Linked DNA regions of Pelodiscus sinensis. The protein of the gene in region 4 interacts with the protein of the main gene of each other region in a pairwise test. Links are inferred from orthologs where the notes say so. Each region holds a gene or a part of one and is shown on either strand. Other genes may lie near its edges. The genes, in order: PTPRA, EPS8, CFL1 and EGFR.

Evidence for each region.
Region 1: the proteins of EGFR (region 4) and PTPRA interact in binary tests that used the Homo sapiens proteins (3 or more experiments, as listed by UniProt). The link is inferred for Pelodiscus sinensis from reciprocal best matches to the Homo sapiens genes EGFR and PTPRA.
Region 2: the proteins of EGFR (region 4) and EPS8 interact in binary tests that used the Homo sapiens proteins (3 or more experiments, as listed by UniProt). The link is inferred for Pelodiscus sinensis from reciprocal best matches to the Homo sapiens genes EGFR and EPS8.
Region 3: the proteins of EGFR (region 4) and CFL1 interact in binary tests that used the Homo sapiens proteins (3 or more experiments, as listed by UniProt). The link is inferred for Pelodiscus sinensis from reciprocal best matches to the Homo sapiens genes EGFR and CFL1.

Annotation. Positions count from the first base shown.
Region 1 is NC_134715.1:128,431,619-128,438,687, forward strand, and holds the start of PTPRA (receptor-type tyrosine-protein phosphatase alpha), read left to right. Parts: upstream 1-4,060; 5' UTR 4,061-4,075; coding exon 4,076-4,177; intron 4,178-4,759; exon of another isoform or gene 4,760-4,972; coding exon of another isoform or gene 4,973-5,017; intron 5,018-7,069. UniProt on the Homo sapiens protein: Tyrosine protein phosphatase which is involved in integrin-mediated focal adhesion formation.
Region 2 is NC_134711.1:112,321,677-112,328,936, forward strand, and holds the start of EPS8 (epidermal growth factor receptor kinase substrate 8), read right to left. Parts: upstream 3,021-7,260; 5' UTR 2,887-3,020; intron 1,954-2,886; 5' UTR 1,874-1,953; intron 1-1,873. UniProt on the Homo sapiens protein: Signaling adapter that controls various cellular protrusions by regulating actin cytoskeleton dynamics and architecture. Depending on its association with other signal transducers, can regulate different processes.
Region 3 is NC_134721.1:32,569,227-32,577,194, reverse strand, and holds the start of CFL1 (cofilin-1), read right to left. Parts: upstream 3,018-7,968; 5' UTR 2,862-3,017; coding exon 2,859-2,861; intron 2,393-2,858; exon of another isoform or gene 2,356-2,392; intron 27-2,355; coding exon 1-26.
Region 4 is NC_134712.1:164,042,529-164,050,331, reverse strand, and holds the start of EGFR (epidermal growth factor receptor), read right to left. Parts: upstream 3,002-7,803; 5' UTR 2,694-3,001; coding exon 2,573-2,693; intron 1-2,572. UniProt on the Homo sapiens protein: Receptor tyrosine kinase binding ligands of the EGF family and activating several signaling cascades to convert extracellular cues into appropriate cellular responses.

The DNA.
Region 1 (7,069 bases), on a different chromosome or scaffold from region 4:
TTACAAACTTCACACCACACACTATGGAATCTCTCAAACTCTTGTGACCAAGAAGGAATGAGTTTTAGGATCAGAACATGCTTGCCTGCGTAACCCACGGGATTAGTTACACTGAAGTCACTGGGCTAGACCTCTAAGTCAGAGGTGGGGAACCTAAGGCCCATGGGACAGATGCAGCTTCTGGTTTGCCTGGATCCAGCCCGCAAGGCTCCGGGCTCCCCCTGGGAACCTGTCCTGGTGCTACAGCCCCCTACCATTATCCTTCATGGGGCCGGAGCACACAAAATCCACTAGCCTGGACCCACAGGCTCTTTGTAGACAGCTCCTTCTGGCACAAGAGCCTCTTCTGCAAAAATGGTGGCTCATTAGGTATGCAAATGAGGCTTGGCGATATTCCACGCTTAGCCTCATTTGCATATTTCTGGCACAAGAAGCTGCGAGTGTAGACATAGCCTTTTGAGTTTTGTTGTTCACTTTAAGGGAAGAAAAGCAAAGCCACTGACCTGCCTGATCATGGCGAACCCACTGAAATCACAGGAGTGGTGAGTGTTTAGCACTGCCCAGAGCCAAGCCCCTGAGTTGGATTTCAGGTGGTATTTTAGAGGTGAAAAAATCAGCATCTCATTAGCAATCTTCTTGAGCTATATCATTTCTCTGCACCCCTCCGTGTTGCCAGCTTTGAAATATGTGATTTCCCCCCTCGACACTGCAGCTCATGGAGTAAAACAACAAGTAGTACTGTAGCCCTCCAGGGTATGTCTACACTGCCACCCTAGTTCGAACTAGGGTGGCTAATGTAGGCATTCGAAGTTGCAAATGAAGTCCGGGATTTAAATATCCCAGGCTTCATTTGCATCTTGCCGGGCGCCGCCATAAGTTTTCCGTTAAAAGCATTTTTGGAAAAGAGCATCTAGATTGTCATGGACGCTTTTCCGCAAAAGCACATTTGCGGAAAAGTGTCTGTGGCCAATCTAGACGCGCTTTTGCGCAAAAAAGCCCCGATCGCCATTTTCGCAATCGGGGCTTTTTTGCGCAAAACAAATCTCAGCTGTCTACACTGGCTCTTTTGCGCAAAAGAGTATTAAAAGTCCAGATTCAAGAATAAATAAGGGAAGGGAGCGGGGAAGGAGAAAAAAAGAGAAAAAAGACAGTGAATAGATTGTTTGAGTAGTTATAAGAGGACAATTAGCACCTTTATTGTTTGGTTGCTTGGTTAAGTCATTAGGATGTGGAAGGTAGTGTGCGAGCCAGCCAATATCTCTGTTCATTCCATTCTGATAAGAATTAAACTTGTAAATGAAGTTAAGTTTCAACCCTTCCCTGTGTACTTGGCTTGTGCAATTGGATTGAAACAACATAGTGACTTGGAGATCCATTAATGAGTGCCCAGGCAAATTAAAGTGTTCTCCAACACGTTTCTGTGTGTTGACTTTTCAGAGATCTGATTTGTGTCCATTAATTCTTTCCCATAGAGACTGTCCAGTTTGGCCAATATTCATGGCAGTGGGGCATTGCTGGCAGTTGATGGCATAGATCACATTAATGGTTGTGCAGTTAAATGAGCCCCTAATATCATTAGCTCACAGACATTTACCTCTCCCCCCATCCCCCTTCTGTTCTGAATTAATTATCTTACCATTACAAAGATAGCTTCCCCAATTATCACCTTTAATATCATTAGCTCACAGACATTTATCTCCCTCCCCATCCTCTTTCTGTTCTGAAATTTGATTTGTCCTTTTCATATGTGTTCATTTTTTTAAATTGTATCCTTTGGTATATATGGTTGTGACAATTTTCTTTCACTATTTGATCTGAGGAAGTGGGTCTGGCCCACAAAAGCTCATCACCTAATAAACCATCTTGTTAGTCTTTAAAGTGCTACATAGTCCTGTTTTTTGTTTCAGCTATACCAGACTAACATGGCTACATTTCTATCACTATTCTACTGGAAAGAATTTGTTTGTTAGGGGGTTGTCTGTAGGCGAGGATTGGCCTTTACTCCAAGGTAGGGCCGGCCCACAACATTTTGGCACCTGAGGTGGGGAGCTCAAATGATGCCCCCATGTCCCCTTGCTTGGGCCAAAACTTTGAAAGGTCTCAATTCTGCCTTTTTCCTGTTCTACTCCTCTCATGGCACTGCTCTGCTACCTACATATGCACCAGCAGTAGACACAATTTTCTACACTCTGGGTCCTAGTGGCACCCCTCCCCCACAATCCGGAATCTGAGGCAGCCACCTCAGTTTGCCTCATGGTAAGGCCAGTCCTGCCCCAAGGCCTGTGAGAGTAAGGAGTCATTTTTTCAGGATAGATTGTTGATTGTGCATTCATAGAATCATAGAATAGAATCATAGAATACTAGGACTGGAAGGGACCTCGAGAGGTCATCGAGTCCAGTCCCCTGCCCTCCTGGCAGGACCCAATACTGTCTAGACCATCCCTGATAGACATTTATCTAACCCACTCTTAAATATTTCCAGAGATGGAGATTCCACAACCTCCCTGGGCAATTTATTCCAGTGTTTGACCACCCTGACAGTTAGGAACCTTTGGAGGGGTTTAAATTGTAGGCTGTAGGTGATGACAAGTATCTTGGGTAGCAGATAGAAAACTGCCGGTTGGGGATTAGGGGGGGTGTTAGTGTAAATTTGGTCCTGGGCAGCAGACTATTTGTTGTTTTTTAAGTTTTCTAGTTACAGACTAACTTGGCTACCCTTCTGAAGCTTTTGTGTATATATATATAAACCCACTTCTCTAATCTGAAGAAGTGGCTTTTGTCCTCAAAAGCTCATGATACTATATATATTTTTGTTACTCTCTAAGGTGCTACAATACCACTTATTTTTTAAAAAGTTACAGACTAACACAGCTACCCTTTTGAGGCTCTTGGAGTAATGTGAGCAAGAAAGAATTTCAGCTTTAATGTTTTAAAAATAACTTTCTAGCCTTCAGGGCTGCAGAGCTTGAAAATGTGAAGCCTAAAACTCCAAAACCAGAAAATGAAAAAGTATCCAAACTGTCTGACTTTTTGAGGCAGTCTGACCATTTTTATACAGTTGGGGTTGATAGTACTGATAGTTGAATCCAAAAGTGTGTGACATAAAAAACCCCTCAAATATATTCATGTTATAGGAAAATGTCCTTTTAAAAGCCATTTTCATTATTGTCAGGACTCGATTCATTATTTTTTAATGCTGGGGTGTGGGGTATAGAGATCTATTGCATGTACCACTGTATAAACACAAAGTAGAAGCCAGTCTCTGTCCTGAAGAGTTTACAGTAATGACAACATGCAACAACTGGTAGGAAAACAATAAGATAATGGGTTTGGCAAGAAAATCTGTTAAGCATATTGTTTGAATAGACACTCTTATTGTTCCCTGTTGTTTTAGAGTGGTACCAGCTGCATCATTGAACACCCAAGATTTACAAATTCATCTGTGGGTTTTGCCCACAAAAGCTCATGATACTACATATATATTTATGTATTTCTAAGGAGTCACAGGACTACCCGTTGAGACTAAACTGGGTTTGCTATCAAGCAAAAGAGGCAGAGCTACATAAACATTTAAAACTGAGTCCGTAAATAACTTCCAAGCACATTTTGGAGGCTTATGCCATTTGCCATTCCACATACCTCTCTACAATACTACAAGGGTGTCACTAGGTGGTGCGATAGAGCTTATGCATTGGGGCTCTTCTCCCTGGGCACCTTGGATTCAATTTATAGCACGTAAAAATTAGTGCAGTGTACACTCATGATGGTCTGGAACACAGTTCAGAAAACTATCAGTTTCAATTTGAAGGACACCTGGCCCAAGGACAGGTGGGGGAAGGTGAGGAGGTTTGAGGAGAACTGAGATAACTATCTTAGGGACCTGGGTCTGGATCAACAGTGTGTTGTAAGTTGGGATCAAGGAGCCTGTAAACCCAGGGCTGGGTGGAGATCCATGAGTGGAACAACAGGAGGTATTAATTATAGGTCACTTCTGTGGTGCATTGGTAGATGGGAAGGGAGTCCAGGATTAAACAGAGTGAGCCATGCGTCAGGATTGGGATGCATAGGCCAAGTCATGTGTGGGTGCTCAGGACATGGGGCGGGGAGGAAGTGGAACTCAGCACTAGAGAGCACGGGAAGTGTTGAATGTGTGCCCAGCACTGGAAAGAAGGAGGCTGTAAGTACGGTGGGATGCGAGCAGAGCTCTGTGGGTGCCCAGCAGTGGCGTAGCAGGGGGCTGTTAGGCTGGTCTATGGGGGTATCCAGCCCTGGAACGGCAGGGGGCTGTGGGTGGGCAGCAGGGCACGGCTCTGGGATTGTAGCGAGCGGGGGCCAGGAGGGGGTGCACTGGCAGGGCTCTGGGGGGGGGGTGGCTCTGCCTAGGATTGCTGGGGCTCAGCCTGGGGCACTGGCATTTCGGGGCGCTGGGGGTGCCCAGCAGTGGGATTCCAGGGAGGGGGGGGTCAGGCTATGGGTGCCCCCCCCCCGGCCGAAGCGTGCACGGTGCGGAGCTCGCGCCCTGGCGATGCGGCGACCCTGCGGTCAGAACGCAGCAGCCTGCGCGCGCCAGCGCTGAGCCTCCCCCCCCACTCATCGGCACGCGCCGGCGTGGAGTCCGAAGACCCTACCGCGGCCGGCCGCCCGCTCTCCACCCTGGGCGCCCCGCCGGCGGCCAATCAGCGCGAGCGTCTGATGGGCCAATGGCAGGGCGGCTTACGGCGGCGCGTGCCCCCCCCCCCCCCCCTCCCCTCCGAGAAGGAGGCACCGCGCGCGGCAGAGCGGAAGCGGCCCTGCGGCGGGGACGCGGTGCGGGAACTTTCCTCCTCAGGCGCCGCCGCCCGCCGGCCTGTCAGCCCGTCCGTCCGTCGCGCGCCGCGCATGGGGCGGCCCCACGGCGGGGAGGCTGCGGGGGCGCCGAGCCCCGCGGCGGGGCGCTGAGGCGGGGCGCTCCCCCCTCCCCACCCCGGGGTAAATGCCCTGGCCCCACGGGCCGCTGCGGAGCCACTCGCCGCGCAGGGTGAGTGAGAGAGCGCGCGCGGGGAGGGGGGGGCAGCTCCAACCGCCAAGGCCTGCCAGGAGGGGCGGGGCTGGGGGGCGGCTGGCGGCGCGCGGGCAGGTCCGCGCAGCCCGCCCCTCACCGGGGTTTCGAGGCCTCGCCCGTGCCCGCCCAACGGTCCGCGAGCCTGGCGCGAGCCACGCACCGCCCCGCCCGCCGCCCGGGGAGGGTGCCCTGCCTGCACCGCAGAGCCCCCCGTGCTGGCGTGAGGCGGGGTCTGACTCCGCACGCAGCGGGGCCGCTGTTGGGCTTTGCGCCGCCCGGAGGGGCTTGTCTCTGCCTCCCTACCGGTGTCACCGCCAGGTTCGGTAGGGGTCGCCGTTCCTGCTCTTCAATCCATAAAGCTGGGTTGGCGTCTCCTCACGGTGGTGCCCCAAACCTCCAGTGGCTTTCACAAGAATGGGCCGGAACTTCGGAGCCCGGGCCTGGAAAGCATCAGAGGGGTCGCCGTGTTAGTCTGACTCTGCAAAAGCGGCGAGGAGTCCTGTGGCGCCTTAGAGACTCACTGAAGTGTAGGAGCGTAAGCGTTCGTGGGCAAAAACCCACTTGTCTCATGCATCTGACGAAGTGTAGGAGCATAAGCTTTCTGGGCAAAGACCCGCTTCTTCTCATGCATCTGACAAAGTGGGTCTTGAAGTGTAGGAGCGTAAGCTTTCGTGCTCTAAGACCCGCTTCTTCTCATGCATCTGACAAAGTGGGTCTTAGAGCACGAAAGCTTACGCTCCTACACTTCAAGACCCACTTTGTCAGATGCATGAGAAGAAGCGGGTCTTTGCCCAGAAAGCTTATGCTCCTACACTTCGTCAGATGCATGAGACAAGTGGGTCTTCGAAGTGTAGGAGCATAAGCTTTCTGGGCAAAGACCCGCTTCTTCTCATGCATCTGACAAAGTGGGTCTTGAAGTGTAGGAGCGTAAGCTTTCGTGGTCTAAGACCCACTTTGTCAGATGCAAAATGCAGGACTATGTAGCACTTTAAAGACTAACAAGATGGTTTATTAGATGATGAGCTTTCGTGGGCCAGACCCACTTCCTCAGATCAAATAGTGGAATAAAGTAGTCACAACCATATATACCAAAGGATACAATTAAAAAAAGAATAAAATTAAAATTGTATCCTTTGGTATATATGGTTGTGACTACTTTATTCCACTATTTGATCTGAGGAAGTGGGTCTGGCCCACAAAAGCTCATCATCTAATAAACCATCTTGTTAGTCTTTAAAGTGCTACATAGTCCTGCATTTTGCTTCAACTACCCCAGACTAACACGGCTACATTTCTATCACTATTCTACATTTGTCAGATGCATGAGACAAGTGGGTCTTTGCCCATGAAAGCTTATGCTCCTACACTTCGTCAGAAGCATGAGACAAGACCCACTTGTCTCATGCATCTGACAAATGTAGGAGACAAGTGGGTCTTTGCCCATGAAAGCTTATGCTCCTACACTTCGTCAGAAGCATGAGACAAGACCCACTTGTCTCATGCATCTGACAAAGTGGGTCTTAGACCACGAAAGCTTACGCTCCTACACTTCAAGACCCACTTTGTCAGATGCATGAGACGAAGTGGGTCTTTGCCCAGAAAGCTTATGCTCCTACACTTCAGTTAGTCTTTAAGGTGCCACAGGACTCCTCGCCGCCAATCCTGGAAACTGCTCTATATACTCGCTCTGGGTGTGTCTAGGCTACAGCGTTTTGTCGATAAAAGTGGACTTTTGTCGACAAAGGTCTACTGGCATCTACACTGCCGCTGAGTTCTGTGGACGGAACTCAGCCGTTTTGTCGATGGCTGTAAACCTCATTCTACGAGGAATAACGCCTTTTGTCAACAGAGTTCTGTCAACAGAAGGCATTATTGAATCTACACTGTCCTTTGCGTCCACACTGTCATGTGGACAAAGCGGCGTGCGTCTTTGACAGAACTGGATGTAGTCTAGATGCTCTTGTTCGAAAGTATGTCAACAAAACTTCTGTCAACAAAAGCCTGTAGTCTAGACATAACCAGTGAGGC
Region 2 (7,260 bases), on a different chromosome or scaffold from region 4:
GATACCAGAGTTCCCTTTTCCCTAAAAAGATGTCAGAACTATCTACCTGGTGCTAACCATATAAATCGATATGCAGAAGTAGCACTATAGTGCCTGGTGCCCATTTTATATGGTGATCATAAGACTCTTGCTCTTGTTCAATGTGTTCGCAAGCACAGAATCAGATGGTGACTGAGCACTAGCTACTATTAAACCAGATAGATCACCGTTTGTTGACAAATCCCGAGTCTACAAACTCCAAAAACTCTAGATCAAACAACAGCTTTCTAATATTATGGACAAGATCCCAGACTTATACTGGAGCTACATTTGGCACAGAATCCAGGGTGCAGGTTTGGTCTCTGACCTAAGCGTATATCTACCATTCAGCTGCTCTAAGTTACATCAGCACCAATAGTGTCTGGGGAGTAGTAAAATATAACACATTGTGGCCATACCCCATCTTGCCTTGCCTGCTATATGCAAACTGAAGAGTCTTTATTTCAAGGACATCCCTAGGTGCCTCATAAGCCAGGTATCCAGCTACTTTACATTGCCTGGCAGAGCAAACTGCTGAACATGGGGCCAAGGGATCTGGGCCTATCTTTATTCAATGCAAAGTCCATGGCAAATTCACCAGCTACAACAGTTAATAAAATTTAGCAGACATAATGATGCCAACTGAGCGACAATCTGTAATGGCTTCTCCTCTCCCTCTTCCCCCAACAGTGGGGATTCACCAACAAATTACCACATGCAACGACTCCATTTCCAGCTGGCCATTTTAACCTTTTACTTAATTAGTGGTCCTCTTCACTTTCACATATTTGCATTGCCCAATTCAATTTTACAGGGAAAGAAATAAAATGACTGACAATACAAATGTACACATTACCTTTAGCTGGCTGAATGTATACATCTGCACTGACTATTACATGGTATGATACAATACAACCCACGGGGATGTAAAAATTGTCCAAAAGAGTTAACCAGTAAATTGTTTGTTTAACCAGTTAACCACTGGCCACAGGCAGGGGGCTGCTCCAGCCCGATTGCACTATAGGATGGGGGCTTCTCCGGTTTTGTGGACTGCATCAGCCCTGGCATCCAGAGCTACTGGGGCCTTGCTGGTCAGGATGCTGCTCTGGATAGTGAGCCCCCCCAGTTACCCAGTAAACATGCTGGTAAGGCATATGTTTATCGGGTAACTGTTTAACCTTTAACATCTCTAATAACAAGGGCTTGTTGTAGGCAGGACAGTTGCCTTGGGTGCCAACTTCAAGGAGGTACCAGATCACTGAGCCACTTTGCTCCCCTTCTCCTCCCATTACTCCCTGCGCTGGCTGCTGGTTGGGGAGATTTTCCATCCTGGCAAGCACGGCAGGTTGGGCTGCACTTAACGAGACTGTTTCTGTAATTCTGCACACTCAGTGCCTTTTATACATACATACACAGATATTTGAGAACAGTGACATTTCACCCAGCAAGGTGTCACCAGTTCTGCAAAGAATGTTGCAGGAAATTTCACGTCAATTGACTGTCAGTTGTTCCAATTGACATTCACTAAAGACACGGCCAAACACTTTCAAGTTTCTAGTCAAGAAAAGATGGAATGACACATGTTTAAGCACCTCTTGCTCTCATATTCCCTGGCTATGGGTAAGGTCACTTTTTGGAAGACGGAGTTAGCTGATATTTTCCTAAATGTTACAGATCAGTATGTGAGCATTATGGTTGGGGAACAGCATAATGAGTCCATCATTTTACTATCTTAATTATTTCTGGAAAAACTGAGGGAGAGGGCAAGTAAATGGCATAAGAAGCTCTTAATGCTTTTAAAGAATCCTGAATGTTATGAATACAGACTACATATTTATGTATAACATAGACCAACCTGCTCTGAAGAATTTCAAGATAAATACAGCACAGGAAGGAATTTTCTTGTTTTCAAATGCTGGCAAAAAGTTTCAGCTTCTGTTATAAAAAGTGATAATACAAACTGAGTTAATACACAGGTTGAACCTCTCTAATCCAGCAATATCTATGGTCCGGCATGATTTTAGTTACACTGATCCACTTATCTGTGCTCTTATTTAGCTCTAATTCACCCCTACACGACTTCTAAAAACCCAGCAAGCACTGGAAGTGTAGGTGATGCTGCTAGACAATATTGACCTCCTACGGTTCAGCAAATTCTCTGGTTTGGCACCAGTCAGGTCCCCAGGGTACTGGACTAGAGAGGTTCATCCTATAATACTCTATCACCATCAGAATGTGAACTAAGAAACAGTACTATTTGTTGACAAACTACAAAGTCATTTGCTGCCTATTACACTTTCATTCAAAAGACCATTATAATTCACATTTAAACTCACCCCCCCCCAAGAACTGCTGAGATTACCAGAAATTACATGACTTTTTAATTAAAACAGATCACATCTTATTGTTTCATAGTTTTTGCACTTCTAGGAGCATGCCTTTAAAGTACATTTATTAGGATATATTTAAAGTACAATAGAAAAATTTAGAATTTCACACATTAAACAACCAAACGGTTTTGTAAAAGGACTAGTTTTTTGAACTGCAGACTCATTGCAGTTCAACAAACATGTATCCCTTCTGTTAAGGTCATGATGGGGGATAGGTAATGTTGGAATTTTCCCTCATTTATGTGGATTTAAGTTTATTTCTCTTTTAAAACTTGCAAGGAAAAAAAACTCAGTTCAACCTTATAGTGAACTTACATCATGAACTTATGAAAATACTAGGCACCAGAAACATAGGATGTTTTTACTTTTTTGATTTAATATATAATTACTAATACTTTGTATTACATAAGTCAATCATTTATTGTAGGATCAAAGTGAGTTTTACAAACACTATGGTTTATAATTTCATCTCACCAACCTGCTAATTTTGATGAACTGAGAAATTGTCTTAGAGTGCAGGTACACACAATGAATTAGTAACAGCAACAGAAATGGAATCCAGGAATCCTGGCTTTTTCCCTGCCCTCCTCTTCACAGGTTACACGACGCTGCCTAAAGGAATTTTTTTTTCAATTTCAAGACAATTCACATTTTCAAATAAGCTATATTTAAATTTAAAGGCTGTATTACAATGTTTTTAACCTTAATAAAAGTTTGTAATGTGTTTTCAGCACATTTTAACAGTTTTAACTATTGATAATTAGCACAGCATTTTCTGAATATGCAATATATTACAGGAACTCATTAAATAAGTCTATAAGAGGATCTTCCAGACTTTGCATTCAACATTATTTCTTAAGCATGACAGAGTACTTGGCACTGTATAAATCCGCATCCTACAGAGCACACGCACACAATCAAATCAAAGGAGACAAAGCAGACAAGATGCCCTGGGAAGTTCAAAGGTATATCTGGATGAAAAATTTCACTTTAAAAATATTTGCCAGAGGAGGGGACAAATTTGTTCAAAATTTTTCATTAAAAACATTTGCTTTCTAGTTAGCTCCTCTCAGCTGAATGGTTTACAAAGACAAGCACTGGAGTTCATGCGCATGCTCATGCTTTATTGTTGATTTTGTTCACTCCTTTTTATGGACATGTTGCTATTTTGATTCAACTGTCCAAAATTAAGCCATTTACTCTTCCTAAGAGACCATATTGAAACTGCCCTGGCACGTAGCTCTGATGGAGCATTGGCCTTGCTTGATAAGGAAGCCAGTTTTTACCACTATCCTGCAACCTCACTTGTGCTAAAAAAGGATTGCCAAAAGAGATAAATTCATATAATCTCTACACAGCTAAAAATCACTAAAGGTGGGTCTACAAAGCACCCTGAACTTGAAATAAGATACGCAATCTGAGCTATGGAGATTGCGAATCTTATTTTGATTGAATTTTGAAATAGCATGTTATTTCAAAATTTGGCACTGTGTAGACATACCAAATTTTGAAATAGCCTATTTGGAGACATCCCTTAACCTTCGTGGAAGCATGGTTGCCAGAATGCCAAAATAGAGTGCTCGTTATTTCGAACGGGCGGCTTGTGAAGATGTGGGGTAGCTATTTCGGGATACCTTCGGTATCCCGAAATAGCTATGCAGTGACGACATATTCTAAATGTCCAAAAATAACATGGATCAGACAAGAAACCGAGAGTCTCATTCATAATACTGTTTATTAGAGACAGATACGCTCTTTAAATGGATGTTTGACAGTGCCCCCGCTGAGTGACTTTTGCATAGCATCTCTCTTCACACTGATTTTTGAAAAACACAGAAGAATTTATAAGTAGGCCACAGTTGTACACTCTCTCAGCCTCCAAATATGGAAATTCTATCATATAACCAACTCCCAACTTGTAGAAGGAAGTGGGAATTTTTGTGCCTTTCACTGTGCCATGAAGCTCCTTATAACATGCCCCCCCGTGCTAGAAGGTTTATGCACATAGACCAGTGACACCTCCATTAAAACACGGAGGTTGTATGTGAAGCTTCTTCTTAAAAATTGGAGAGTTCATTTAGGACATGTTCCGAAAATTCTACCCAATAAGGAAGAAGAGTTCAAAGTCCATCTCGAAACAAAACACAAACACTTATCTCTTAATAAATTAGACTGTGTAGTCAAGGAAAATTACGCTGCATCTGCAACTAATTTACCAATTCTATATATATAATACAGATCTTTTAAGTGGACGTTAAAATGTGTGACACTTAATAACTGTATTTGAACCCTGTTGAAATATTGGATCAAAGCAGCAAAGCAGAGTCAGCTGTAGAAAAAATCCAGTCCAACTGCAAAAATTTCTTTTATGTATAACATTGTATACACTCTGCATGATTTTTCTCCTCTAAATGGAAGCATATTAACATGGAGTTTTTTGTCAGGTACACAGCAAAATACATGCCAATATATATATGCTCGGAGATGCTGCTCTTATATAATTTTTAAAAATCCCTGAAATGTACAAATTAGGCACTTTGATTTAAAATATTGGTTTGATTGTACTAATTTACCTGGCATACAATCCAGAAATGCAAAGAGTCAACTAATTTTTCCCTTTTTTTTTGGCTCCAATGGATTTAGTGTTGATGACAGCTGCCAAATTGACAACTATGGGATGCAGCTCCACTAGGAATATTAGTATCCATTTTTCAGCAATGGTGCAGCTGCCCCTGAGATTGTAATATGGTGATTTTACCGCTGGTCTTGGAAACCAGCTCAGGTTTTCATTACAAAGTGACCAACCAAAAAAAGCAGCTTGAGAACCCAGCGTAGATTAGAGATTAGAGCATTGCTTTAAAATGAGGTACTGATTTACTTAGCGTGGACAAGACCATGCAAAGCGTAGGCTCCACTCATGTCCTGTGATCCCAGACAGTTTTGTACTTGTTTATCACCTCTATGTAGTTTATTAATATTACCACTATCGTCACAGTCCAAGCAACAGTTCTGTCTACAACGTTCTTCAGATGTCAGCCCACTCTCCATGGAGAGTGCTCAGCTTGCTCCTTCAGTTCTGCTAGCATTTCCCATTCTGCACTTTCTTCCAGTGCTTTCTAACCATCTTAGTTCACATTCTGATTAAGGTAATTAAGTCCTTCATTCCTAAATCAAGTCTTCTCTGGGGGGCAAATAATCAGCTTAAGTGACCAGAGTGCTGGGATATCGGTTAGCTTTCAACACTGTCACAGGCCATATAAACCAAAGCATATTTTCCTATCCCTGTTGGGCTAGGATCTGGGAGCTCTGGCAGAGACTTACACCTGCATAGAGCTCTGTATACAGAATTGGGCTCCTAGTTGGAAATTGAACTAGCAACCTAAAAATAAAAAGGCTTTCTATCCCATTACTGATATATAAAGAATTTTGTACAGAAGGGATTATTTAACAATTGCTTGTTCAAAACCAGCTTTTTAAAAAAGTGAAATTATGAAAATAAATATTTGCTGCCTCCCCCTCAAAAAAACCTGATTGTTGTACATAAGCTCTCTTATCCAAAGGGTATGGGGGGAGAGGCGCGTGCATGCGAGCACACGCACACACACACACCCCTACACCTCCTACCAAGGCCTTGGGAGTGGTATCACTTTGCCCGTTGGACTCGTCCGCAATTGTCTTTCAACAGGTTTAGATACAATTTTCTTTCTAGAATCTATTATGCCACCTAACAAGTCAATTATTGATTATTCTAACCCTTTTATATGAAAGTATTTGTGCAAGGCGCTTACTGCCATCGCTGTGCACTATGTTCATTTGGCCATTTGTTTTAATCAAAGGTTGCTTCAAATAAAATTGTGAAGTAGCCTCCGCAGAAACATTTCATTCCCCTAACAGTTTTGAATGAAAACAAGACATGGCTCATGTGGCTTGGAGCAGAAAAGAAGCCACATTTCTTCTACAATCCAGTTTTAAGTAAACCAATTTTATTGCTTTAGCTTAGTCTCTGAAGAATATTAATCTAATGTAGGATACCACAGGCAGACAAACTTTATATGGGATCGCTTAAGGGCCAGGATGAAAGACAAGTAGAGAGCATGAGATGTAGTCTCTAAAAAAGTTACTTTGAGTTGCTATTGCAGCCCAGATACCAGGGCATACCCATATAATAAGAATACAACATATGGGGGAGGGGGAGTGATTTAGTACAGCTGTCCCCTCATACTGTAAAAGCAAAAATTCCATTTTGTGCCAAGGAGGAGAAAATGGCAGCATCCCTAATGCCTGCTCAAGTTCATCAGAATTTCCTTTGACCTGCAAAGAGGAGTAATATTTTAACAGTGCCAGAGCACACATGTAGTACAACCAGAGTCTTAACAGTCAAACTTTCAGTTCTAGAGGGTCACTGGCATGTGGGTTCAATTAAAACATGACTGCGAACCACTACTGCCAATCGCCATCCCTTTTAAAAGTGATCGCGTTCATCATGAGATGTAGTTCGAAGTGATGAACTTCAAATAAACAAATGTATTTAAATCTGGATAAAGTCAGCCTATGAAACAGTTCCAATAAATAAGGAATACAAATACCATAGCAATGATTTCTTTAAGTCCCATTCTATCTACATACATACTGCATTTTTTTCTAAAAAACAAAGAGGGAGCTGGCATGGGTGTGAGGTGAAGAGTTCTCGGAGCTCTCGAGAGAACCTATTTTGCCTACTTTTCATCCACCCTTCCCTCAAAAGCCTGGTTATTGCAGCAACCTTTCATCTAATTTTGGCAAATGTCTCTCCCTCTGGTAAGTACAGGCAGTCCCCGAGTTACGCGGATCCGACTTATGTCGGATCCGCACT
Region 3 (7,968 bases), on a different chromosome or scaffold from region 4:
CCATCAGAAACTGCTACGCCAGATGCCTGTGGGGGAAGAGGGGGAATTAGGAGCTGGGGAAACCTCTAAAGGTTGGTCAATGAGGTGCCCATTACTGGGATGCCAGCCCCACCACACATCAATTCCCAGCAGCCACAAGCAAGAGACAGGGGTTTCCTAGCTCCAAAGGGCAGCTCGTCACAAGGGAAGCCTTGCAAAGGGGGATTATTGGGGTAATCCAACCATTGCCCCCACCACGAGGTCTCGGGGGCTACTTGTTTCACCAGGTACCAAGCCAATGGACCCAGCAGATTTAACCCAGCAGCTGCCATGGGCTTTGGAGCACAGAGGGAATCGGGCAAGATGCAGAGTTGCAGCTTACACAAGCAGGACCAGAGAAGACACACTCCAAGGGCCCGCAGCAAACCAAATAGACCCCAACTACAAGAGCGCTCAATGGAAAGCTCTGCATCAGTGCCTTACACAAGCACCCAGGACAGGCGCTGCAAGGGAACCCGAAACCCCATGCAGGAAACAGCACTACACATGACCTCTGCAGGAGGCTGTGCCCGCTGCTTCCCCATCACCAGCCAGCAGCCCGGGCCCTTCCCACACAGCATAGCACCAGCCCCCATTCACCTCAAGAGGAGACTAATCACCCCTCTACAACTTTTACCCCATAGTCCCTGTTCACCCTGTGCCCTACCTCCCACTCATCCTCCCCATTTAACCCCAGCCTTCTTCCACTAGCTACCCCTCCCCACACCACCACCAAGACAACTGCCAGTCTGTCTCTTGGTGCAGTAAAGCCAGCCTCCACCCTCCTTCCTGGCCTGGTACTCAGAGCACAGCACTTGACACTGAGTCCACCCCTTTTCCCCACCCCCCATTAGACACCTTAAGACCGAGAGCCTTGTTATTTGGGGCACTGACATAGCACTTCGCACTCCACTGCCTGACAGCACAGGGGCCAATCTGAGTAGCTGGAGGCACCCCAAATTCTAACCACTCAGTGCTCCATGCAAGTCCCAGCCCAGGTCTCCCTGGATGACCAAAGGTCCAGCCAAGATCCCCAGCCAGCCAGTCAGCTGAGTCTGGCTTCAGCAGAGGGGCCCGGCAAATCAGCAGGGTGATATGCTCTTATATGGAGAAGGGAGGCTGCTTCAGGGGAAGCACAAGCCACTGTGCTCCAGCAGCCGCTTCTGGGAGGAGATGAAAGGGACATGGGGACAATGCAGGGCTCAGAACACGGACCAGTGAGAGAATCATCAGATCCCCCAGCCTAGGCCTAGATACTGTAGTCAATATCTTCCCTCCTGCAGCAAGGCTGATGCAGCCAGGATAGCTCCCCCCTCCCCCCGAAGCCTCCTAATTGAGTGGGCCCATAGGAGGCTAAAGGGCTTTTGTTCCCTAGCCCAGAAGCCCCGTTTGAATCCATGGCAAAGACCTAAGTAGTCAGTGCTATTGGCTCTACCAAAGAAATGAGACTATTCACAGGTCTTGCTGATCACCCTTCTCTCTCCCCCCCCCCCCCCCGATTCTCCTGTACCCTCCACCCCAAGTTTTGCTCACCACTAATCCCCAGCCAGGCAATGCTAGGAGCCTGGGTATTAGGCTAACCAAGCACCACTCCCCTTCCCCATCCCCCTAGCATCTTTGTCCTCCGCGTGGGAGGGCTCTACAGGCTGCAAGGGAACACTCCCACCGCTCAGACAGTTCAGAGCGCTAAGCACCATGAGAGCTCCTTGCTGGCACTAGGTGAAGCAGGTTTGGCCAATGCAAGGTGGGAGAACCAGGGCTGGGAGCACAAGGCAGAGAGAATCAGACATTTTGCAGAGCAGCACGCTTGCCCACCATCATGGCATTATCAAAGGGTAATGGTGGGGAGCAGAAACTGAGCGAGGCAGTTGAGAGCAGGACACTGGATTGGCTGATCTGGGGGGAGCTAGGACAATGTGGAGCACAAAATAGTTTCATCTTAGACTCAGATGTTAATGTCAGAAGTACCTCTTATGGCCCAAAGATATCTCCAGCCACTCCTACATCCAGCCAACATCCCCAGCAGGGGATACCCAAAATTTGGCACACCAAAGGCCATCTGTACCATGGCAAGGCCTGGGATAGAAAGCTCAACTGTTGCAGACATGGGGAGCCCTGAAGTCACAGGATCCCATACACATAGGGCATCAGGCAGAAGAGATGGATCAAAGGGGAGCTGGCAAGCCTCAAACCCCATGTTTTAGGGGATCTCCCATTGCCATCCCGCACTCTGATGCAATAGCAGCCCCGGAACAACATGCCTCAAGAAAGAGAGCAATACCTAGCCCATCCCGCATTAGAGAATAGGAGAAGGGGCCAGGCCCACATGGGACTCACTCAGAGGTGCATCATCAGCATCCTGCTACACTTGCACCTATAAGGGAAATGGCCAAAACAGGCCGCATAAAAAGCCTATAAAATCCTCTCATAGGGATGCCGATCCCAACCCCATACAGGAAAAAGGAGGAGGTCCCCCCCCATGAAACCCAGGGGTACCTTCCATAGGGGGTGGAGGAAACCCCTCGCCCATGGATCCTACAGGGGCCTTCCGACGCAGAAGGGAGCATACAGCCGCCTATAGACCCCATACGGGGAGAGGCTCCCCTTGCAGATCCCATTCATAGAAACCCAGAACAGAGCAGCGCCCCACCTGCCCCACGGGCGAGAGCAGATTCCTGCCCTGGAGCCGACAGCGGGGCCCCCGATCGCTCTTACAGGCGCCCCCTACAGAGGGTGGCGGGTACGCCAGGCTCCCCCATCCCCTATGGCTCCCGTAGGCGCCCCAAAGGCAAGATGGCGGGCGTGGGCCATAAGATGGCGGCGGCGGGCCGGGGTCCTACCATGGTGCTGCGGGCAGGGGGATCGCGGTCCGGGCTGCGCGGTGTCCGTTATACTGCAGCTCCTCTCTCAAGAGATAACGGTACCAAATATCGCCCCGCCCCGAGCCTACCGGCCGCCCACTTCCGCTTTATGGGGGAGGGGGCACTTCCGGGCGGCGCCGGCCACGAAGCATGCAGGGAAATAGAGTCCGCGCCGCGGGGCACGCAGAGAAAAGGAATCCGTGCCCGCCGCCGGGAAAGAGCCGCAAAGCGCGGGGAAATGGCACGAGCGAAGGAGAGCCACGGGAGACATCGGCAGGGGAGTCATGGGCGATGTAGTCCTGGGATCAGGGAGACGCTGCCGCGTCTGCAACACCCCAGTGCGGGTGCCCTGCAGTTGCGTGCAGTGCATCATGGGTAACAGACCCCCCCCCCCACGAAATAGTAGGACACGTCGTTTGATCACCACCGCCCCTCGCCTGCAGGGCGCTGGGCTGCGGGCAGCCCTCACGCCTGAGTTCCCCCTGGCTCTGGGTGCAGAGCGGGCCGGGAGTGGGAGCCGAGCCCCGGGAGTGCAGCCAAGGGGCTTGGCATTGGGAGCCTCCCTGAGGCCGACGTCCAAGCTGCGGCTTGGAACCGCGCCTGGAGATAAAACAGCCTTTGTATTAATCAGGGTGTCCGTGAGCGGGGCGGCGCAACGCAGCACAGGTAGCGCCCAGGTCGGCTTGTACTGAGCGCAGGCGGCCACAGGCTCTAGGGCAGCAGACTCCGAAGACCGGCTGCTGATTGGCTGAGCCGTGCCGTGACCCCGCCCCCTTCCATTGTGGCGCTGTCCTTCCTCTCCTTGCGTCGCTTCCAAATAAGGGCGTGAACCAGCTGCACAGAAAAAGGCCCCGCCTCCTGCAGCGTCCTCTCCTTATAAGGACATTTAGGGCACACAAGAGGAAGCCCCCCCCCCCCCCACCTACCCAACGCATTGAGGTGTGATCCTTAGCTACACGGAATCCTTCGCCTTGTCCCCTTCCTAGTCGTTTCCTTTGCTTCTGCGCAGACCCCTGCTTTCTCACTCATTATTTCCTCATGATCTTGATTGTTTTCTCTAAAGCTGCAGCTCCTGGACTCAAGTGAATCTGCGGTGCTTTCAGCCTTCAGTTCTCAAAGAAAAATGAATTTCTAGCTCTCTTGATGTGGTGAAAGCTTCAAAATGTGACCCCGGTGCATCCTAAAGGCTCAAAAAAGCAAAATCCTCCCCCCCAAGCTATTATTCTTACATAATCTCATGATTTTTGTTAAGTGTGGCTCCTGATTTTTTTAACAGCTGGGGTTGGCATCTACCACAGGATAGTTTATCTAAGAATAACTCTATACATTTTACCTGGTAGGGTTGAAAATGTTTTGGGTGACTCCCTCACACTATGGTAAGTTGACAGCCAAGTGACCACCCTCCTTATCCAAAGGTACAAGAGCCTCTGGTTATTATATCTCTTAAAGACATGCCTTCTGTTGCTCCCATTCTCTGAGCCAAAGCCCAAGCACAAGTTACATATCATAAGTAGTGGACCATTATGCTCCAGAGTAAACAATGGGGCTGTGTCTAGACTGGCAAGTTTTTCCGCAAAATCACATGATTTTGCGGAAAAACTTGCCAGCTGCCTACACTGGCCGCTTGAATTTCCGGAAAAGCACTGACGATCTCATGTAAGATCATCAGTGCTTTTCCGGAAATACTATGCTGCTCCCGTTCAGGCAAAAGTCTTTTTCCGAAAGACTTTTGCACAAAAGGGCCAGTGTAGACAGCACAGTAGTGTTTTCTGCAAAAAAAGCACCAATCACAAAAATGGCGATCGGGGCTTTTTTGCGGAAAACTGCGTCTAGATTGGCCATGGATGCTTTTCCACAAAAAGTGCTTTTGCGGAAAAGTGTCCTGCCAATCTAGACGTGCTTTTCCGAAAATGCTTTTAACGGAAAACTTTTCCGTTAAAAGCATTTTTGGAAAATCATGCCAGTCTAGACGTAGCCTGGGATAGGGTGCTTGGAGGCAATGCCAAACCTCTCTCTCCATGCTGCCATTCCAGGCATCCTGCATGACTCAGCAAAGAGTGCTCTCCCCAAAACCAGTGCTCAGCTTGCTATGCCAGTAAACCCAGCATTAACATGCCCTGTGCATCACCTCAGAGGACACTGTGTCTCAGAAATAAGGAGGGAATCCTTGTATAAACAGGTCCTGTGCCCCACCTCAGGCGGCTGAGTCTCAAAGCTGGGCAAGTACTGAGGAGGGGTAGGGCTGTCTCCAGGCAGAAGAATATCTATCTCAAAGTATTAACTAAATGCTCCAAGATTATCCCCTCCACAGATCAAATCAACCACCTGTGTGTGTGTGGAGTGGGGGGGAGTATGACAGCCCAGTGGGTTGGGGACAGCTGGAGAGGAAGGATGATATGAAGCCAGGACAGTGGTTCCCATGGTGGGGGAGGTTGGTTCCCCTCCTTTCTCAGCATGACCCCTTGAAGTAGGGTGGCTGTTTTGGCTGGGACAGAACCATTTTAAGCCCTTCCCCAGCCATTTTTTGGCAAAAGCGGGCATTTGTCCCATTTGCTGTTGCTGACTTGATCAGTTGCCAAGAGCAAACAAGACAAAAGTCCACTTCTGTCAAAAACAGTGGAGAGAAATGTGCAGAGGAATGAGCAGCAATGCCAGCCCCCATGTGGGTGGGAGGCAGGGCTCAGGCAAGCAGCCACCCCAGCTGTGCACAGGGCTTGGGTGTGCAGCCACCTGGTCCATGTCTGGGAAAGCAGGCAGGGCTTGGGTGAGCCAGCACCAACCCCAGCTGTGCATGGTGTGTGAGCGGGAGGCAGGGCTCAGGTGGGCAGCCACCACAGCTGTGCACACTGGGGAGGAGTCAGGGCTCAAACAAGCAGCCATGGAGGAGGTGGGCAGGGTTTGGACAAGCCATCACCCCAGCTAGCCCCAGCTGTGTGCAAGGGGAAGGCAGCTTGGGTGAGGAGCCCCAGCCAGCACCATGGGGATGTATTCACATGTGCTTGAACCAGCAGCTTGGGCCAGTCCTGGGAGGGGAGTCTGGGGAGGCACTTAGTCTAGGCCCATACTCTGTCCTTTGGGAAATATGGTCACCCTGCCTTGAAGGCTCCAGCTGTATCATAAATCTACTCGCCAATATGTACATCCTTCTTGTCACACATATTCTGCTGCTTCCCTTAACCTCTTACCAGCCAGTCTAAAAACCCTTTAGCAGCGGACATGTATCCTGGGAGATCTTCCAGGGGGTATAGCAACTCATCTAGATATTTGCCTAGTTTTACAGCAGGCTACATAGAAAGCACTAGCAAAGTCAGTACAAATGAAAATTTCATACAATGACTTGTTTATACTGCTCTATATACCAACCACTGAAATGTAAGTACAATATTTACATTCCAATTAAATTGTATGGCAAAAATGAGAAAGTCAGCAATTGTTCAGTATAGAATCATAGAATCATAGGACTGGAAGGGACCTCGAGAGGTCATCGAGTCCAGCCCCCCGCCCTCAAGGCAGGACCAAGCCTCTGTCTAGACCATCCCTGACAGATGTCTATCTAACCTGTTCTTAAATATCTCCAGAGAGGGAGATTCCACCACCTCCCTTGGCAATTTATTCCAATATTTGACCACCCTGACAGTTAGGAATTTTTTCCTAATGTCCAATCTAAACCTCCCCTGCTGCACTTTGAGCCCATTACTCCTTGTCCTGTCCTCAGAAACCAAGAGGAACAAATTTTCTCCTTCCTCCTTGTGACACCCTTTTAGATATTTGAAAACCGCTATCATGTCCCCCCTTAATCTTCTTTTTTCCAAACTAAACAAGCCCAGTTCATGAAGCCTGGCTTCATAGGTCATGTTCTCTAAACCTTTAATCATTCTTGTCGCTCTTCTCTGGACCCTTTCCAATTTCTCCACATCTTTCTTGAAATGTGGCGCCCAGAACTGGACACAGTACTCCAGCTGAGGCCTAACTAGTGCAGAGTAGAGCGGCAGAATGACTTCACGAGTTTTGCTTACAACACACCTGTTGATACAACCTAGAATCATATTTGCTTTTTTTGCAACAGCATCACACTATTGACTCATATTCAACTTGTGGTCCACTATGACCCCTAGATCCCTTTCCGCCATGCTCCTTCCTAGACAGTCGCTTCCCATCTTGTATGTATGGAACTGATTGTTCCTTCCTAAGTGGAGCACTTTGCATTTCTCTTTATTAAACCTCATCCTGTTTACCTCTGACCATTTCTCTAACTTGCTAAGGTCATTTTGAATTATGTCCCTATCCTCCAAAGAAGTCGCAACCCCACCCAGTTTGGTATCATCTGCAAACTTAATAAGCGTACTCTCTATCCCAATATCTACATCATTGATGAAGATATTGAACAGTACGGGTCCCAAAACAGACCCTTGAGGAACTCCACTTGTTATCCCTTTCCAGCAGGATTTAGAACCGTTAACAACAACTCTCTGACTACGGTTATCCAGCCAATTATGCACCCACCTTATCGTGGCCCTATCTACGTTATATTTGCCTAGTTTATCAATAAGAATATCATGCGAGACCGTATCAAATGCCTTACTAAAGTCTAGGTATATGACATCCACCGCTTCTCCCTTATCCACAAGGCTCGTTATCTTATCAAAGAAAGCTATCAGATTAGTTTGGCATGACTTGTTCTTCACAAACCCATGCTGGCTATTCCCTATCACTTTATTACCTTCCAAGTGTTTGCATATGATTTCCTTAATTACCTGCTCCATTATCTTCCCTGGGACAGACGTTAAACTGACCGGTCTGTAGTTTCCTGGGTTGTTCTTATTCCCCTTTTTATAGATGGGCACAATATTTGCCCTTTTCCAGTCTTCTGGAATCTCCCCTGTCTGCCATGATTTTTCAAAGATCATAGCTAAAGGCTCAGATACCTCCTCTATCAGCTCCTTGAGTATCCTGGGATGCATTTCATCAGGACCTGGTGACTTGCTGACATCTAACTTTCCTAAGTGATTTTTAACTTGTTCTTTGTGTATCCTATCTTCTAAACTTACCCTCTCTCTGCTTGTATTCACTACATTGGGCACACCTCCAG
Region 4 (7,803 bases):
CTGTGTTTACACCAATGGATCTGAGGCTGAGCCAGATTCTCATCTGTCAGTATGTTAAAATGTTTAGTATCACTGATTTGGTTTGGGAAAGTTGATGATTCTTTAAAAAAAAAAAAAAAAACCAAGATTAGTTTTCACTCGGCTGTATTTAAATTTGTTTTTAATTCTCAATGTTTAAAGAAAGATTTTTAAAAAAAATGGTATTGAAGTCACCTCAACTCAAACCAAAATGTAAAATTGTACATTTTGCATTCTAACAAACATTGTACTAGTATCCGAGTCCTTTAAAAAAATCATCTCTTTGTACAGTAAGAAATGACATTAAGTTCAGGTGAAATTTTTAAAATGTGAATGCTCATAACTATATACAGCTTAAAATTTCTTAGATGCTTCATATTAGTTTACTGTAGCACTTCATTGGTTTGTATTGCTTATGCACCTCCAGCCCCTCAAGTTGGTGATATATCGTATCAAAAAAAGGATCCCATGTACCCAAACATGGAGGCAGGTTCTGGGGTCATGAAGATGATCTGATCTATCATGCACCTATTACTTTGAAGGCAAAAGTTAAAATGTGGAACTATTTTATGAACCTTCAGCGGGTATCCAAGTTAGTCTGTCCAGGATAAACTTAAAACTTCCAGCTCAGCTTTCCCCTTGATATTTTTTACCCACTGCCTCTTCTTGTTCCTCCCTCCCATTTTTTCCTTCTTCTATCCCCACCCCCTTCTCCCCTATTTATTTTGGGCCTGGACATCCAACACTCTGCTCATCTGAAGAAGTGGGCTGTGCCCATGAAAGCTCATGATACCATCTACATGTTTTGTTAGTCTTTAAAGTGCTACATAACTATTTGATGATTCTTCAGTGAGGATTCTTCCTGTATCATAGCCTCCAATGGGAATTTTATCATTTAATTTGTTGAAGCAGGAGCATGCTACCTAAAAGCACTTTTCTGCTGCTCACCTTTAATGAGCATACAAATACAGCAAAAACAGAACAATCAGGCAACTCAGTGTAATTTGAAGATGACATACACTACTTCTGTCTTGGTCAACAGGTCTAACTCTCCTGATGTGAAAAGGCACTGGCAACTAATTATAACCGAGGTGTGGGTGGTGAAGCTATTGTCTATCATTTCTTTACTACTGGCTTATTAAATAATCATAGAATGGGCTCCTTCCTGGTCAGACCTAGGGCTCCGAGACTGTAACACCAATACAATAATTGCTACCTCTTAATGCTGTAAGCTTTAGTATTGTCCTTGCATCAAAATATTTTGCAGAAATTGTAAAACTCAGTCTGTGTTTCAAAACAATTTTATCTGAGCTGCACAATCACAGCAAAGGGAGTCAACTGCCCCCAAACCCTGCCCTAATTACATCAGCAACAGGTACGAGCTTGCTTCTTGGAACCAGAGTGCCTCTTGATTTCAAGATTGTGCAATTAGCTTTCTGAAAAGGCGTGTTTCTACTTTTCAAAGATGGTTTGATTGTTCGGAGTCACGAAATGCTAACGCTCCTCTAACAGACTTTCTAAAACTATTAGGTCTTTTCTCAATTTTTTTTAAACAAAAATCTGCATTGTGTTGTTGTTGGAGGATTCCCAAGATAAAGACAATTTTGCCTGGAACCGAAGTTGGCTGCCTATCCTTGAAGCTTATAAAAGGGGGGGGGGGGGGAGAGAGAGAGTTTGGCCAACCAAAAACTTTTTTTCTTCCCCAAACTGAAACTGCTTCCTTAACGTATTAAAACCTTGCAAACTAGGCTGAACAGTTCTCACTACGCCCGCGTCAGTACACGGCTACAGGACAAGAAACAGTCAGCGCAGCCGACCGTGAGAAACAAGCCGCGCCGGCCATTCACAAAACTTGCCAATTTGTTTAGACTGGTCACCCCACAACGTGCCCCCTGCGCGCATTTCAGCTCAACAGGGCTCAGGAGCCGGTGAGAACCACAAGCCAAGAGCCCAACCTGCCTGCAGTTGTTCCAAAACTGAGGCTCGCCTGGTACACGAGTTATTTGGCTCCGGCAGGTCTGTGAATCATCCATGCGCCCCCATCCAGGAAGACGTTAATAAGCCTCGGGCAATAGGACAAGCCTCAGCGCTTGTGAAACCGACCCAGCCGCCTGTCACTGCCTCTCCGCTCGTGGCTCCGCACCCCCCAGCGACGCCTCGGAGAGGCCCCTGAGAACAAGGGCACGGAGGGACTTCGTTTGCCAGGCTGCCTAGGACCCGCCTCGGGCGCTGCCGGGTTTACACGTGCGGGGCGCAAAGGGGGGTGGGCGCTCCGGAGGGCCGGGTTGCGAGGGGCCAACCTGGGGATCGCAGCGCGCGGTGCTGGCTGGGGAAAGGGCAAGGGACGTGCCCAGGATTTTCTCTCCCTCCCCTCCCAGGAGAAAGCAAGCCCCCGCCTCAGGCAATGGGACGCCGCGCCAGTGACACCCTCTCGGTCAGGGCATCTGGACAGCGCAGCGCTACGGAGCCGGAGGGAAAGTTTAACCCCCCCCCAGCCTGGGGACAGCGGGCTCCCCCCGAACACACGGGCAGCGCAGCAGGGCGCGAGCGGTACCTTTCTTCTCCACCGCGGCGCTGAGGCAGACGCAGGAGAGGAGCAGCACCAGGACAGCGGCGCCCCCAGCCCGGAGGTGCCCGCTGGCTGCTGCCCGCGGCCGGCGGCTCCAGTCCCCCATGCTGGGCTGGGCAACAATCCCCGGGGCTCGTCGCGGCTCCCTCCTGGTCCCGGCGGCGCTCAGCTGCGCTGCCCGGCTCTGCAGACCATGCTGAGCTGCTGCTGCTGCTGCCAGGGCGGCGGCGGCGGCTCCCACCGCCCCACGTGCGCGGCGGAGCAAGTGCCGGGGGCTGCTGGCGGCGACCCTGCTGCTCGCGCCCGGGGCGGAGGGCGCTGCTGGCTCGGGCAGGCGGCAGCTCCGCTCTCGCCCCCTTGTCCCAACTCCTCCGCTCGCAGCCAAACTTTCCCCGCACGCAGCCAGCCAGCAGGCTCAGGGGCTCCCTCTGGGGAATCCGCCCGCCCCGCGCAGGGGGCGGGGCAGGGGCGGGACTGGAGGAGGAGACACCCTGGCGGCGCCTCCCCCCTCCCGTGTTCCAGGTGAGGGGCTGGGGGGGGGCGCTCACCTGGGCCGGGAGCCCTGGGGGGAGCTAAGCGAATGTCCCTAGTTCCTGCCCAGTCCCCTCAGCCTGCCGCTCGCCTTAGCATTTGCTAAAGAGGAGCTCGCCCTCTTCGCTGTGGCTGCAGCTTTGCAGCCCTGCCCTTGGCCTCGTACCTAGGAAGGGCAGGGATCGAGCACGGTCTTTGCCTCAGGGCTCCTCAGGCGGAGGCAGAGCGAGCTGAGCCCTGGGCGAAAGGCTGGGAGAGGACTGGAGCCCTGCTCACTTGCACGTCCCCCCCGCCCTTTGACTATCGCCGCAGCTACGCAGGAGGTAGCCTAATCCCATTGACTTTGCTGGAATCCCCTGCGTTCCGCACCTCCTGGAAGTAAACACAGGCTCGGCCCTTCTCTCTGGGTGTGTGTGAGAGAGGGAGGATGTCTGGCAAAAGCGAACTGGGAAGTCTCGCCTGCGTTCTTGAGGAGGCGAGAGTGGAAATCAGTTCCCGAGCAACTCTGTCAGAAAGCAAAAGACTGATAAGGAGTAATTGTGGGAGACGGGAGTGGGAGGCTAAAATCAGTCAGTCGCTCCTTTGCTTTCAAAGGAGAGATTTGGAAATGAACTTTTTAAAAAATGCCAAGAGAGCTTTATGAAGGACCTCCCGGGGGAAAAATAAATAATTACCGGACGAAGTTAATGATTAAAAAAGTTACGACAGTGCACTAGAGCTTGGAGTTTTGCTACTGCTTTCTATGGGACCGATCCTGTTCCCACAGTGTGCATTTTATCATTAAAACTCTCTATGGAGTTTGTGAGAGTAGAAAAAAAGAGTCTAACTATATTATTTTTATGTGTCCTTTCCTCCCTCAATAACTCATAGTCCCTTGGGCACTGATCCTACTTGGAACTAATGGTTTTTGCTATATTGTATGCTCCTGTTCCTGTGTTGCTTGGTTAAGGAATACTGAATTAAGAAAAAAATTGTTTTATAATATTTTCCTTGTACAAACCAGCATATATATGCGCACACACACATTTGGACAACACATTAAATTATGTGGGTTTTTGATGGTTAGTATAACATACTGAGTTTGTGCATCTGGAAATACTATTACACTATCAGATACATTGTGGGTGGATTGTCTGGCTTTCATTAGAGACAAATAGGATTTTTTAAAATCACACCAGGTCAACATAAATAAACTTTGCAGCACTGTGGGGGTAACCTTAGTATATATTACAGATTGCAAATTGCACAAGAAGGATGGGTACTAGATTAAAGGTGCTGGGAGAGATGTCTGTCACATCTCATAAGAAAAAAAGTATAATGTAAAGCCTAATGTATCTACGATCTTGAAGATAGTGCAAGAATAATTTATTTAATGCATACTGTTAGCCTCCTGAATGCAATAGACTCAGACATTTACAGAGTTCACCAAAAACTAAATAAACCACAAACCAACACACACACACTTTATCTATGGTCAATCATCGTTTCTATTTGAATTTGTATGAAACTGACCATTTGACAGTGAGTGATCTCTTACCTCGTTCCTGACCTAAACTGAAAATATGTCAGCATTGCGCACTCTTTATGGAGGCATGTGGAGTAAGACATCCTTTTGGTATGTGCATGAATAGCAGTGGAGACGGGGAAGCACTGCTGAGTGGAGTATAGACATGTCTGAACCCTGTGGGCACCTATCCTACAAACAGCTTCACTTCTCTACATGTCCAAGCAATATCTCCCACATCTGTAGGGCTACTTTTAGTTCTGTTTTGTATAGTGGAATTTTTCCCATCACATGGAAAGACTCTAGCAGCAAGGAAAGGGCATGGAGGAGATGGTAGGGAAAGGCTCCCAATGTTCATCATCACCAGAGCCTTTCCCTGGCCACAGCTATTTCCCCCCTACTGCTATCTTTCATTGATGTATTGCTACACACCACAAAGTATATGCAGGTTGCTTTTCATTGCGGCATATAGTTACACGTACCCTATATGCCAGCACCAGTGGTGTGCAGCATAGATCTAGCCTTTAGGAATTCCCACTGTAGTTATCATTTCTCCTACTGCAAATGTTCAACTCATTTTCAGAGTGGAAAAGGCTCTTTTAGCACTGACACTATGGAGTTCTGCAGCAAACAGCTATCATTTTTTCCTACCCTATCCTACTGAGTTTGAATGTATTACATTCTTGACAACTGAACTCTTCTAGTCAAGAAAGTAAGATACATAAAGATACACCAAGACCTGAAGACCATATGCTGCAGCACAACTGGGAACTACCAAAGCTGTCAGGTCTGCAGATGTCTCCTGTTCACATAACCAAACAATCGCTGAAATTGTTAGTTTACATAATATCTCTGTTTCAAACACAGGAACCTGTTCTATGTGGGTATGTCTACACAGCAGCATTATTTCAGAATAACTGACATTATTTCGAAAAAACGTAGTGCATGTCTAAACTACAAGCTTTTATTTTGAAATAATGCTGAGATGGAGGACTTCTTACTCTGACTCATGGTAACCCTCATTTCATGAGTAGTAAGGGAAGTCGAAGCACCAAAAGCCGAATTAAGCTATTTCAATTTAAGCTATGCAATTGTGTAGTTTAATTCCACTTTAGCTTTGGGCTGTGTCTAGACTGGTCAGCTGTCTACACTGGCCACTTGAATTTGCACAAGAACACTGATGATCTAATGTAAGATTGTCAGTGTTCTTGCGCAAATACTATGATGCTCCCACTCGGGAAAAAGCCCCCTTGTGCAAATGCTTTTGCGCAAGAGGGCCGGTGTAGACAGGTAAAAACTGTTTTGCGCAAAAAAGCCCCGATGGCAAAAATGGCGATCGGGGCTTTCTTGTGCAAAACTGCATCTAGATTGGCACGGACGCTTTTCCGCAAAAAGTGCTTTTGCGCAAATGCATCCGTGCCAATCTAGACGCTCTTTTCCGCAAATGCTTTTAACAGAAAAACTTTTCCGTTAAAAGCATTTGCGGAAAATCATGCCAGTCTAGACTTAGCCTTGCTGTGTAGATGTACCCTGAAAGGCCTCTACAGGACTGACTAACAGAATTCTAATGTCCCACGGTTTTTGTTGTTTCAATAGGCGGGCTGTCATCCCTTACTACATGGCATAGGAAGAAATAATTGACATTTCCATAATTCCTCAATCCCCATCAACAGCAGAGATGGAATTAACCTCACTTGCCCCCACAGACTGTGTTGCAGAACAGAATGCAGCTTCAGAACAATTCCATGGTAGGTAGAGGGATTGTGGAATCTTGTTGCATGGAGTCCTTGCAGCTTGGTCCTCCACTCTTACAAAGCATAGGTGTGCCTTGCGTTCTATTGCCTTCTTACAAGGATGGTGACAGGATTTGTTCCACAATGAGAACTTGAAAGGTTTTATTATGAGCAGAGGAAAAAATAAAGGTGCATTGATTGGAAAGAATTTAATCTTTAATTTGTTCAGACTTCATCTGTGTTATGCTGGAGTTTGTACAGAATGTACTTTGACGTATTTTGCATTTTAATGTAAGAAATGATTAAATGACTTATAGCACTTCTGTGGTCCCTGACACTTTCAAACATTAACTAGTTATTCTTCACAACTCTCCTGTGAAGCAGCTTAGTATATATAAGATCCACATTTTACAAAATATCTTCTCTGGAAGCAGCATGATATATAGGCATATAGATAGATATAGACAGATACATATTCACATACACACGGGTAATAATTGTTTGCCTAACAGCATGTAGGGAGATTTGGGAAGGTATACAGATGGGCACTGGGGTTAAGCCTTAGTAACCATAAATCCCTTAGTCAATATTGCTTTACACAGAATATGTGCCTCTGTCCAAATCAAGAGATTTTTATATTTCTGAGTTTGTACTGCCACTATCTATGCTCAAGGCTATCCCTCCCACCCTCCAAGGGGCCAGGACACAGACCGGTGGTTACAATACATGGAGGAGGACCCTACTCCAGGGACGGTCCTGTATGCAAACATACAACACGGGGGGAAGGGGAGTAACCGAGTGGGCCCAAGGCACACTACTGTGGTGTCACCTGGGCTCAGGGGTGGAGACCATGAGGTGTGGGGACAGTGGATGGGCTGCCTGACTGACCCATCCTTTCTTCTGTTCCCTGCAACGGGACCAAGTACAAGCCAGGGACCCTCAAGCCCTGTGGCAGCGGCAGCAGCAGCACCCACAGCCGCCCAACCACCAAGGCGGCGGCTCCGCCACTGGGATCAGCTCCTTCGGCGCCACATGCAGGCCATCGAGCGCGTCGAGGCAGCCATCACTCGGCGTGTGGAGGTGGGCCTGCAGTGGCGCCAGGAGGCCTGGGGCTCCTTCCAGGCCCAGTGTGTCCGCAAGGCGGATTCAATATCCACCCTCACGTCACGCATTGGCCATGCCATTCACTATAGCATGGCCTTGCCCCATGCCCCCGCCATCCCTCCCCTAGCACTGTCCCTGCCCCTCCTGCAATGGCCCCTCCTGCTCCTGTCCCTCCTGCCCCTGCCTCTCCTACCCACCTCCCCGTGTTGCCTGCACCAACGCGGCCTGCCCCCCATGTGCAGGTCTGCCCCCGCAGAAGCAGTCGCAGGGGCCAACCCTCCTAGGAGTAGCTCCTCCCCCTCCCAGTTCAAGGTCTCCCCTCTCCCCATTGTAAATAAAAAGTT